Nothobranchius furzeri: one gene and its partners. The protein of the gene in region 1 interacts with the protein of each later gene in a pairwise test. Links are inferred from orthologs where the notes say so. Each region holds a gene or a part of one and is shown on either strand. Other genes may lie near its edges.

Region 1 (3,753 bases):
ATTATCTGATGCTGATGTTGCTTCCATTACCTAAATTAAAGCTACTGATCTAAAGAGATGATAATCTTAAGAAACAGAGATTTCTGCAGAGGTAAAGTGTTAAAAACTAATTTATTCCGCCAGGAAAATATCCTGACTCTTCCACTCTTCTACGTGTAACCTTTACACTTATAAAAATATAGTTTTCTGTTAACAATTAATCTAGACAAACCTGATGCAGAGGTAAGACTCAAGAGAACTACATACAGACTAGAAGTGTTATGGCAATGATTTGCTCCATCAGGAAGCAGCCATCTAGCACTTGTTTATTTATCTGTATATTCTGCATCTCACTGATCTTTGCCATTTAAAGGATGCGAAACTGAAATAATACAGTTTTAATAGGTGAAGTTCTTCAGTCTCATTTCAAATACATGCATGGGCTAGAATTAGAAAATTGTGGATTAAACCGATGTAGGCCTTTTGAGAAATCAGAAATACAGTTTTCTTTCTAAAGGCAAGAAAATTCAGTATGAATCAAATTTAAGCAACAAAACACTTCGTGTCCCTGCTCACCTCTGTCAGCCCTTTTATCTTCAGGTAGCCACACAAGTAGGAATCTTCCATTGTGACATGCTTTAAGAAGAAAAAAAAAGATTTTCATCATCCAAGTCAGCAATAAACGTGCTTTAATCTACATTCGTATGGATCCCATGATTATGTTTCATAAACATGCTAAAACAGCCTGTTGGTCTTTGAAAATCATATCAAAAAGTCCACCTTTTCAGCAGCATTTAGTGAAAATTGACTAGAGACCAAGTACAACACTGATGATGGTCTGATTCAGGTAGGACAGAGTGTTCAGCTGTCAATCATCACACGGTCGGTTTGACACATCACATTAATGACTGTATACACGCTTCAATTCCTACCTGCAGGACAACCTCCACATCGTAGGAGTTCCCTTTGCTTTTCTGGTGGCCCCGAAACTTAGAGCCGCTGTACAGCAGCGAAGTGACGACGCCGGGCTGCTGAGTGTTTATAGGGGGTGGCGGGATAAGTGAGGCCGAGGATGTGAAGGCCGCTGCGGGTGAGTCGCTGATGTATCCAGCAGGGACGGGCATGGCTCCCACTTCGCTGGCTGAGCACCAACCACGGTCAAAACACTGTGTTCGCCTCTTCGAACAGCTAAATGTTTACTGAATACGCTCACCGATATTCAAATTTCACTTAATTCCAATGTAGCACAGTTTACCAAGCTGCTCGAGAAGTAAGTGGACTTGCTGTGCTGTAGCCAGGAGCATTCACCTCTCTGATTGGTCGACTGAGTTCGCCGTACGAAGATTCTAAACGCTTATTGGCTGAACGTGCAGAAGGATTTACGTGACTATTTGGTTGTAGTTTTTCCCCCTTTTGTAATGCAGCGCAAAGGGACTAAGAGGCTCCTAAAAAAACTACATTTCCCACTAAAGTAAACAGTTTACGACACTGTCAACCAACTCGCAAAGAAGGTCAGCCAGCGTGCTTGAAACGCCGGAGCTTGAGACGAGAACAAATGCTAAAACTGCAAACAGTCTGTAAATGATAGATGTAAATGTCATTCCGTTTACGATGTTGCGCTATTTTAAGTGAGAAACGGTGGGAAAAAGCTTTGCGATTTGTTTCTGTTTTATTATTAGCCTTACGCCAAAGTCGCTGAGCCATGTTTAGAAGTCTTATTAGACTCAAGAGTCCATTTGGAAGTGTTATTTCTCTTTACAACGTGTGCCCGAGGCATCAACACTCCAGTTGTACGCGGAAGTATTCCACCGCCACATCAGGTTAGACGGAAAATATTAGTAAATCCGTTTAGCTGACGATTTCATTAACCCTGTTTTCTTTTGCGATGTTGTGCTGTGTACCAGAGAGGAAGAAGTTTTATCAAGATGTAAGCATCTCCCAAGGTGAAGGTAAGAGGAAATGTTCCATTCCTGTGTTTACATCATTCTGTCTTATGGTTGTGCTAAATATTAATAGCAATAATAATCTGTACAGGTGGTCTCTACGAGATAAACCTTGACAGAAGGAAACTGAAAACTCCAGGTGGGAACCTGTTCGTAGTGCCTAATGAGGCCCTGGCCGTCGCTGTGGCAACAGAGTGGGATGCTCAGAAGGATACGCTCAAGTTCTACACTATGCATCTGGTATTTGGCTATGCACACATAAAGCTGTCAGCCAGCTGCCCTTTCTCTATTACGTGTGTGCGTGTGTGTGCGGGAGTTTGCATCTGCTTGGGACGGGATTGAGGATGGGAGGACGGAGATACAAAGGGGATCTCTTATGTTAATCTGTGTGGGAGGGGTGGGAAACTGGCTGCTGGGTTGTTTTTAATATTGTAAAGTGCTTTGAGCAGCATTTGTATGGAAAGCGCTTCATAAATACATTTTGATTGATTGATTGATTGAGAAAATAAATTTTAAATACAACGAGTGACTTCACCTCTGTAATAAGGGTACATTCCAGGAAATGCGTTGTCCAGCTGAGTGTGAGGTGTCCATTTATGGATTATATACAGTATGCATGCTTATAGCTATGTCCTGTCAGTTACTGAATCATGGATCTGATGTTCTTGCTAAACACTTCTTGCAGACGACTCTGTGCAACACAGCTCTGGACAATCCAACTCAACGCAACAAGGACCAGATGATCACTGCTGCTCTGAAGTATTTGGAAACAGACACCGTTTGGTAAACTTGTTATTTTTATATCTATATCAGATAAAACATTTGTTTATATAACTGAAACAACGGCAGGGTTATACAGCCCAAAAATAAAATCTCTGATTTTATTTTTTAAATTTGATTTACGATTCTCTCTCCCCCTCAATTATTAAGAATAGCAATAAGTACAAATGGAAGGCAACTTAAAGCCAATTTTGTTTTGTATTTAATCACAAGCAAGAGAAATGTTACCCTTATTTCTGAGATGAATAATGAATAAATGATCACCCTCTTGGAATAAAAGTGCCAAGCTCCACATCCGTCGCAGCAAACCCAAACCAGTTCCATACAAGGGATGATTTAATTCCTCTCGTAGGAACAAACTTCCCACTCTCACCGGTGGCCATGGAGTCACTTGCTGTTGCACATCCGTGTACGTGCTGTGACGTTGTTGTCGCGGTTATGTGAAACTAATGCTACGGAAGCTCCGGGGGGCCAAAAAGGCGCTATTACATAAAAATTTGATTTGCTTTCTTTAATCGCCAGCAACAACAAATTCGGCCTGGGTGATGATTTGATTATCGCCCAGGCCTAACTGAAACTAAACCAGGAAAACTAAGCATCCAGTAAGGATCAAAGGTCATTATACCAATATTTATACATCACTGCTTTTAACACAAGACAGTTGAGCTCAGATGAATGGCAGAGTAGATTTTCATAATCCGTCAAAGGTGAATGCACACAGGCCAGTTGAGCAAGTGGACACCTGATTATTTCTATTGTAGTAAATGCAAAATGCATTTTTCAATTAGTGATTCCATTTATTAAAGAATTAAATCTTTCCAAACCAATTTGACCCTTGGAGCCAGCAGCTGTCATCAAGCACATGTGGCTTTCACATCTCTGTGAAAGATTTATGTCCCGCTGCTCGTTACAGAAACTGAAATCAGCCACATTGGAGGGTTTTCCAGCATGAATTACCTGTTTAAGGTCAAAGGTCAGACATTCTTCTTCAGGATGTTTTGCTAAGGAAGCAGCCTCAGACCATCACACTACCACCACCCTGTCTGACTGC
Region 2 (3,753 bases), on another chromosome or scaffold:
GTTTAGTGTGTAATCCTCGTGTTTATGTTGGATCCATCACTAAGTTGGTCTGCAATGCGCCTAATCAGAGGGGGAGAATTGCGCCAGGCTTCTTGGTGAGCTGAAACTTTCTTAAGATGATAATCTGTCAGAGCTGACACTGAAGCAACCCTGGATGTTTATTTCTGAGCTAAACGCATGCACACCTGTACGTGTTGCGCAGATTTTCTCAGAAATTTGCTTTTTTATTTATTTTTTGTTTTTAAGGTTTATTCCTGCATAAAACAAGAAAAACAACTAAAACACATTTAGTGATTTTCAGTAAAACATCGTTTACGCCAGGAGTCAGTGCCGTTCACACAAAGTTTAAACCGCTCTCCTTCTGTCCAGAACAGCAGTTTGATGGGGCTGATCCACCCGCTATGACCCGCCGTCAAGCTCAAGCACAGTGCACAGCTTCAGGTTGGAGAGGGGCACGGGGCGGGACGCCGCGCGGGACAGCTGATTGTTCGTGCCATGAACTTGGGTGCGTTTCCGTTTGCTTTTCAGACCACGCCCCCTTCACCTAGTAGTTTTCTCCTGTTAGCATCCCAGAGATGGTCCGGAGAGATTCCTCAGGGAAGAAAAGAGTGCAAATCAGCCGAGCGGGGAGCGCAGAACTGCCTCCTAATTGCGCGTAATCTTCCGTTTCATCCACGAGAGCAGAGGAGGAAGAGCTTGTAAATCAAGACGCGGCGCACAAGGAGCAAAAGACCCGCTTTATCTTCGTCTTCTTGGTCTTTCTGTTGCAATAGAACTCGTCTGACATTTTGCTTGTTTTTGTCGTCAGCTGTTCACCTTGATCCGGAGGACTGTCGCCAACTCAGCGCAGCGCCTCTCATCCTGCGCTCCCCCTTTCATCCTTTCTCACTGCTCTTCCTCTCGTCGAGTCGCTGACATGAGGAGCAGCTAACCTCTGGATGCTGACAGCTCCCCTTTCTTCCTTCCACATGTCGCATCTTTTGTTTACTTTGAGGGGGAAACCGCGCGCGTCTAAACACCAAGCGGTGTAGACCACGCCACTTTGCTCCTGTGACAGCGCTATCAAAGAGGAGGGAAGGCAAAGAAAGAAGAAAAAGGGAAAGGAGGGAGCCAAGGAGAGGAGGATAGAGTGAGTGAGAGAGATAGAGACAGCGGGAAGGTGCGTTTTGATGTTTGGCATCCACGAGAGCATCCAGAGGAGTGGGAGTAGTATGAAAGAGGAGCCCATGGTGGCCGGGATGAACGCGGTTCGGACCTGGATGCAGGGCGCCGGAGTGCTGGACGCCAACACAGCCGCCCAGAGGTGAGCCTGAGGCGGCCTTGGCGCTGCGCTGTCTCCGCTCAGACCGAGGAGAGGAGAGAGCGCGGGGTCTGATCTGGAGTGGTGGATTCACCTGGGGCGCAACGTGTCCCAGAGGACGCATAGCTGGGGGGGGGGTCACCTCTGCTCCGCGCGGCATTTTACTCGACTCGTTCAAACACTATATGTGGTCCGGAGATTTTATTTTATTTGGTTTGATTTCAAACAGGCAAAAGAACCAGAGTTTAAACTGTTTTCAGCTGAGTTTGCGCCTTTTTTGTGTGTTTTGGGGTCTTATGGTGCGAAACTTTTAAAAGTTTGCACACATTGTTCACTTTTAATGTCTAAAGTTAATTTTACAATAAATAAAATGTTAAATTTAGAGGACGCTTTGATGAGCATTAATTTATAGCAACACCCTTTAACAGCAGGCTTTAATATTATAATAATAACTATTATTATTATTATTGTGACTGGTTCAGATTCTGATGGTAACTTTAAATGATTTCGTTGCCTCATAATTAAAAAACATTACCCGCACGTTCAGCAGAATAAACAACAAACTGCGCTGTTGGATCAGACAGTCAGCGCTCAGTTTCAATAATTAAACTGAGTCATTTTTGCACTTTCTGATATCTGAATGTTCCGTGGTTGAGGCCGCTGCTGCCTTGTGCTTCTATCCGCAGCGGAGTGGGTCTCGCTCGGGCTCACTTCGAGAAGCAGCCGCCCTCCAACCTCCGCAAGTCCAACTTCTTCCACTTCGTCCTGGCTCTGTACGACCGGCAGGGCCAGCCGGTGGAGATCGAGAGGACCACCTTCGTGGATTTTGTAGAAAAAGAAAAGGTGAGTTAGGAGCTTTTTTTTTTAATTGATAATTAAAATCACACTGAATGAAAGCTGGTCCTTCTAGCGGCGCATCGACTGGAGCCGAGCCTAGTCGCCGGGGTGATAAATCACCAGACAGCAGGTCCTGAAGGCTTCTCGTGTGATTTTTAAACGCTGCTTCCGGAACAAACCTCTAGTTATTGTTACAGGAACGCTGATTTCCCTGTTAAAATAAAGTAATTTCCACGTAATTTCCTAATTGCATTTATCTTATTTAAAAACTTTAAAACTCACTTTTCGCCTTTGATATTCTTAAAGATCTGCAAATATTAATAATCAACAATTATTATCGATTATTTTAAACAAACATCCAAATAAACTCTTAGATTTTTGTTGATTTAACATCTTCCTTATTTCTGGCATTCGTTTATTGAAATACGTGATTTATTTATTAACGTTTATTTTATTTAATGGCATCTCCATTTGTTCTTCTTCTTTTACTTGCTGCGGTGTGTGAATCTTTCATTTTTGAAGACAATTAAACAAATCGAATTTTTTTTCTAATATCTCAACCACTCAGATCAGGTGTAAAAATGATTATTTAAAATAATTAAACAAACAATCAATGAGTTAAATTTGTTTTCATGTTTTATCAAATTATAAACTGAGACAAACGTGTGTGAGTTTTAACAAAGTTAGAAACAAACCGACGACCTTCTCATTCTGGCTCCATAAACGGCTCAAGTGCTGTGGAGAGGTCAGTATGAAATCTCACATTTATTTTTCTGATGGATCAGAACTGAGGTGAGACGCAGGAGTGTGTGACCGGTTCTGTTCGGGTTCATGTCCACAGGAAACGACGGGAGAAAAGACCAACAATGGGATTCATTACAGACTCCAGCTGCTCTACAGTAACGGTGAGTTTCTGCTGCCGGGCTGTTATTCAGGTGGACTTAGTCCCGAAAATAAGGAGGAAACTTTGGCAAATATATGAAAAATGTCACATTTTAAAACACTTCACCAGTTTAATTAAAAGTGTGTTATTTTAATTCATTCAAGCCTTGAAACACATTAAAACCAAAGCTGTTGTTTCACATGTTAATAATTAAGCAGCTAATTAATTTGTCATCTTATTTTTGAATTAAAATGTAAGACAAATACTTTTTATGAAAATTAAAACATTTTTTAAAGTTTCTGCCAGCTGACAAGTAAAAAAACACTCATAAATGACATAGCTGCCATCAAGCGCCTCACAGGGCAAATCAGAACACACACACACACACACACACACACACACACACACACACACACACACACACACACACACACACACACACACACACACTTTATTTGAACACCTTTCCGTCTCTCTGCAGGGATCCGAACAGAGCAGGACCTGTATGTTCGCCTCATCGACTCCATGACTAAACAGGTAGAGATTCTGCATCTGACTAATCATTAAAAAGTCTTCTGGTCTGAATGTTTTCTCCCCTCCATCACCAACTCCTCCCCCTTGCCCCCCCCCCCCCCCCCATGACTGAGACCCTCAGCCGGCTTGATGGACGACCTGTCGTACCTGTGGAACAGATTTACACAGGCCCAGAAAAGTATAGAGGACATGTCCTCAC
Region 3 (3,738 bases), on another chromosome or scaffold:
AAGGATTTTCAAGGCCTTAAATTTGGAAAAGCAAATTTAAGACTTTTTAAGACTTTTTAAGGACCCGCGGATACCCTGACTGATGTACGACTAATAAATCTGTAGTGCTACACAATCTTTTCACCACTATACTTGATACAATGATCCCATCCATGTAATCAGTTGGTATCGGTTATTCACCGAGCATGCCAGGCACAGACAGGCTGGCTTTAACTTCTCTTAGCCATGAAGCAGAAGCTGCATTATGAGGATTGGTTTGGGAAGGAAGTGATGCACAAGTTACACTGACCCACTGAACCCATCGCACACGGGATCTAATCTTTCATTTGCTCCACAAAGAGATTCAGATTTAGGACCCGACAGGGAGGGTCAGATGACTCATGTTACTATGATCGGCCAGCACGACTGTTAAGAGAGCTAAGGGGGCCTTGCATTTGCTGTCGAGCAGCTTTACAAAAGGACCATAAATCTATTCACTAACTGATTTAACCAACATTTAGCTGCAATGATCTCAACTGATTTGATGAGACGTGCACGGTTCGTACCAGATTTCTAAATACCTGCCAGTCATGGAAAACCTCAGAAATTTGAATTTTATGTTTAATGGCTACAACAAAAAAAGCTAAGGAACGGATGGCTTGCTGTGGAAGAAAAATGGAATAATCCCAGGGCATGTTGTTACAGGTTTGGTTGCATCTCTCTTCTACCTGGATTTTCTCTCTCAAACAAAAACACTTTCAAACGCTCTGAAGCCTCAGACGGACTTCTTCGACTCATTTGCCCCAAAACAAACATCAAACAGCAAAAACCTGAATATCCACATGAAGATATATTTTGCTGCTCCAGCTTTGACAAAAACAAATGAAATGATTATTTACCCTGAAGCTCTTGTTTTCCATCAAGCCTGTAGACAACCCTCAGAAACAGTCTGATGGGAATTTTGTAGACAAGCCTCAAATCCGACTCATCGAGATAAAATAAGGGTTACAAACTCAGCCGCTTATGTGATATTTATCATCCAAACGTAGTCATTTGTTTGTTTTAGAATTAGGTCACTGTTTGAAGAACACTGGTGTCAAAGTTTTCTTTATATTTATGCATTCTATATTCAATAAATGAGCCCTAATGCATTATAAGGGAATTTGCTTTTTTCCAATACAAGCAATGGAACTCATACAATAAATATTCAAAGATCTGATTATCTTGCATAAAGGCTTTCAAACTGTTAGCATCAGATCAGCCTGCTCGTGTTTCCTTTACTTAAAACGGCGATGGTCCTGCTGCTCACGTTATCAACACACAGAAATGACAAATCAATGTTCAACCTATACCCGAGGTAAAACAAGAACATCAGAGCGGCGTAAAACATTATTTGCTTCAACTCAGGAGCAGAGAGGCTCTTAGAGAACAAGATGCAGATTGATCGGTGTTCTGCATCAAAATGGACTTGTGTGACGAAACATGAACTTACCTCCCGAGCGATACTACTCAAAGCCTCATCTTCTGCTGAGAAGCGATCTTTTAAAGGAGCACGCTTCCTGCCAGTGCCTTGTGTCCCCATGTCAGTGCCGCCACTGGAATGTCACCAATTTAGTGTGAACCTGGAACATCGACAGTTGTGTTTGTAAAAAACGGTGAAGAGCAGATGCTAAAGAAAACAGTTTAAACAGGTCTGGAAACAAACCCAAACACTACAGTAACACTGAGTAAACTGTGTACAGAAGATGGTCGTTCACGAGTGACTATATTGATATGGTTGTGTTTACTTTCTCCCGCTTTTAACTGTGCATGCAACAGCCCACACATTCCCCTGGGCCTCCCATCCATTCCTGCAAAAACAGACAGTCCATCATGTATGAACCCCATTTGGACTCCTGATAAAACAGTTGTGGCTGACAAGAACCAGCTTTAATGTGACATTTAGGATCTGTGCAGCCTCATAAATCAGCCTGTAAACACATTAGGAAAACATAAGTTAATTTAAAACAAACCTATCCACGATTATTATGTGATTAGACTCACTTACATTAAAATATAAATGTGTGAGATTAATATTGTGACTGCAGCTAGTTAGTGCCTTCAAGGCAGACTGTATTTAATAGTCAAATAATCAAGGAGTCCAGATCATTCAAATTGAATATTTAAATTCACAGGTACAAAACTACTAATGTTAATGACAGTTATCTGATCAGGAAATGAAGAAATTAGATCAAGTTTGAAGATGACAAAGATAACACACCTTAAGTCACAACAGTCAGCTGAAACGTTAGCACACACATACACTCAAGCCTAATCAAATGTACCCACCAGCTAATAATGCACAGAAAATAAATTTGATATTGACGACCAATATAAACCACCGTAAGTTACCACAGTAAACGCCATTTGTTGTTACTGGCCAGTTCACTTGCGTTAATGTGAGTAGCCACCTCTTCAGTAAGCTAACTTTGGGAATGCTAACTAGCATTACTTGCTCTCAGAAATGTCATTAAAAGTTTAAACCAATAAACTCATAGCGAGCCATTAATAATTCAAACGCTTAACAAGCCGAGAACTGTCCGTCCTCTTGATGGCAGCTCCGAAAACAACCTTAAGAAGCTTCATGAATCCTAGCTAGATAGTTAGCTAAGTTAGCTAGCGGGGCTAACCTAGACGCTCCTGAGAGACAGCCAGGACAAACTGACTGACTCTCCCGTCATATTTCCAAGACCAAAATGAGCACGTTACCTTTACGACAGTTTTAAAATAATAACACAATCGCGATCCTGTCAAGGTGTTGTCCCTTCAAGAGCAAGTCATTCGATTTCACCCCACAGATTAGTAGTTTTTGTCCACACTGACAGCTGTCATCAGTCCGCCTTTCTTTCCACGGATCTCCACCGTTCTCCACTGTCCACACACTGCTGGGCTGAAAATGCCCCGGATGTTTGGAAAAATTAGGGTGTGATGGTGCCTTCAGGTGCGGTCGGGAAATGTTAACATTATATCCATTTAGGGAAGGATTGTTTTCTACTTAAAAAAACGTATTCAGAAACGTCATGCCTTAGGACATAGAAGCGTTCTCTTGTCACTCTGGCAAAAACAAAGCAGAAACGTGTGATGTAATATTTTAATAACCAGAAAAGTTTCTCTGTCATTCCTTTTCACGATATACCAAATAACTTGTACGGTTAACGCATGAATTGCGCTCATTGTTTTCTTATATACTCATTCATATCTGAAATATGAAAACATTTTGAAATAACAGGAAAAATACAGTGTAAAGTTTTAACTTTTAACATCTATCCATCCACGGATGGAGTTTTTTTGAGGGGGACAGGACGGGAGGACCCCCCCCCCCCCCCCCCCACACACACACACACACACACACACACTTTTTGTCCCCTGCACATTTTACTGTCCAAAAACAATATGCTGCCATATTAAATCAACACTGGTTGAGCTATTGGACCAAGAAGAAAACAACCACTTTCCCATTAGAACCGTCCATAAGCTCACCTATTGGCTCTGCCGATAATTGCTAACGTGTGATTGGCCATTCCTGCCAACTGTGTACTTGTCAGAGCCTCTAGTCTGTAGTTTCACACATACTTACAGTAAAGACCCCACCCCCACCCAGTCTTCATGCCAGTTGTGTCCCCTCCCCCACTTGCAAAGTCAGAACAACGTCCATGCATCTATCTATTTTCTTCCGCTTATCCGGCCGGGTCGTGGGGGCAGCAGCCTAAGTCGAGAGGC

Evidence for each region.
Region 2: the proteins of atpaf2 (region 1) and ebf1a interact in binary tests that used the Homo sapiens proteins (3 or more experiments, as listed by UniProt). The two-hybrid records come from large-scale screens. The link is inferred for Nothobranchius furzeri from reciprocal best matches to the Homo sapiens genes ATPAF2 and EBF1.
Region 3: the proteins of atpaf2 (region 1) and lrrfip2 interact in binary tests that used the Homo sapiens proteins (3 or more experiments, as listed by UniProt). The two-hybrid records come from large-scale screens. The link is inferred for Nothobranchius furzeri from reciprocal best matches to the Homo sapiens genes ATPAF2 and LRRFIP2.

What each region holds. Positions count from the first base shown.
Region 1 is NC_091756.1:29,843,805-29,847,557, reverse strand, and holds the start of atpaf2 (ATP synthase mitochondrial F1 complex assembly factor 2), read left to right. Parts: upstream 1-1,468; 5' UTR 1,469-1,681; coding exon 1,682-1,799; intron 1,800-1,883; coding exon 1,884-1,928; intron 1,929-2,013; coding exon 2,014-2,162; intron 2,163-2,607; coding exon 2,608-2,705; intron 2,706-3,753. Other genes in the region: glucose-induced degradation protein 4 homolog, read right to left, coding at 556-615, 912-1,103. UniProt on the Homo sapiens protein: Plays a role in the assembly of the F1 component of the mitochondrial ATP synthase (ATPase).
Region 2 is NC_091742.1:46,498,450-46,502,202, reverse strand, and holds the start of ebf1a (transcription factor COE1-A), read left to right. Parts: upstream 1-1,043; 5' UTR 1,044-1,169; coding exon 1,170-1,303; intron 1,304-1,986; coding exon 1,987-2,143; intron 2,144-2,978; coding exon 2,979-3,042; intron 3,043-3,501; coding exon 3,502-3,557; intron 3,558-3,753. UniProt on the Homo sapiens protein: Key pioneer transcription factor of B-cell specification and commitment. Recognizes variations of the palindromic sequence 5'-ATTCCCNNGGGAATT-3'.
Region 3 is NC_091752.1:5,388,367-5,392,104, reverse strand, and holds the start of lrrfip2 (leucine-rich repeat flightless-interacting protein 2), read right to left. Parts: upstream 2,916-3,738; 5' UTR 2,728-2,915; intron 1,602-2,727; 5' UTR 1,562-1,601; coding exon 1,472-1,561; intron 1-1,471. UniProt on the Homo sapiens protein: May function as activator of the canonical Wnt signaling pathway, in association with DVL3, upstream of CTNNB1/beta-catenin.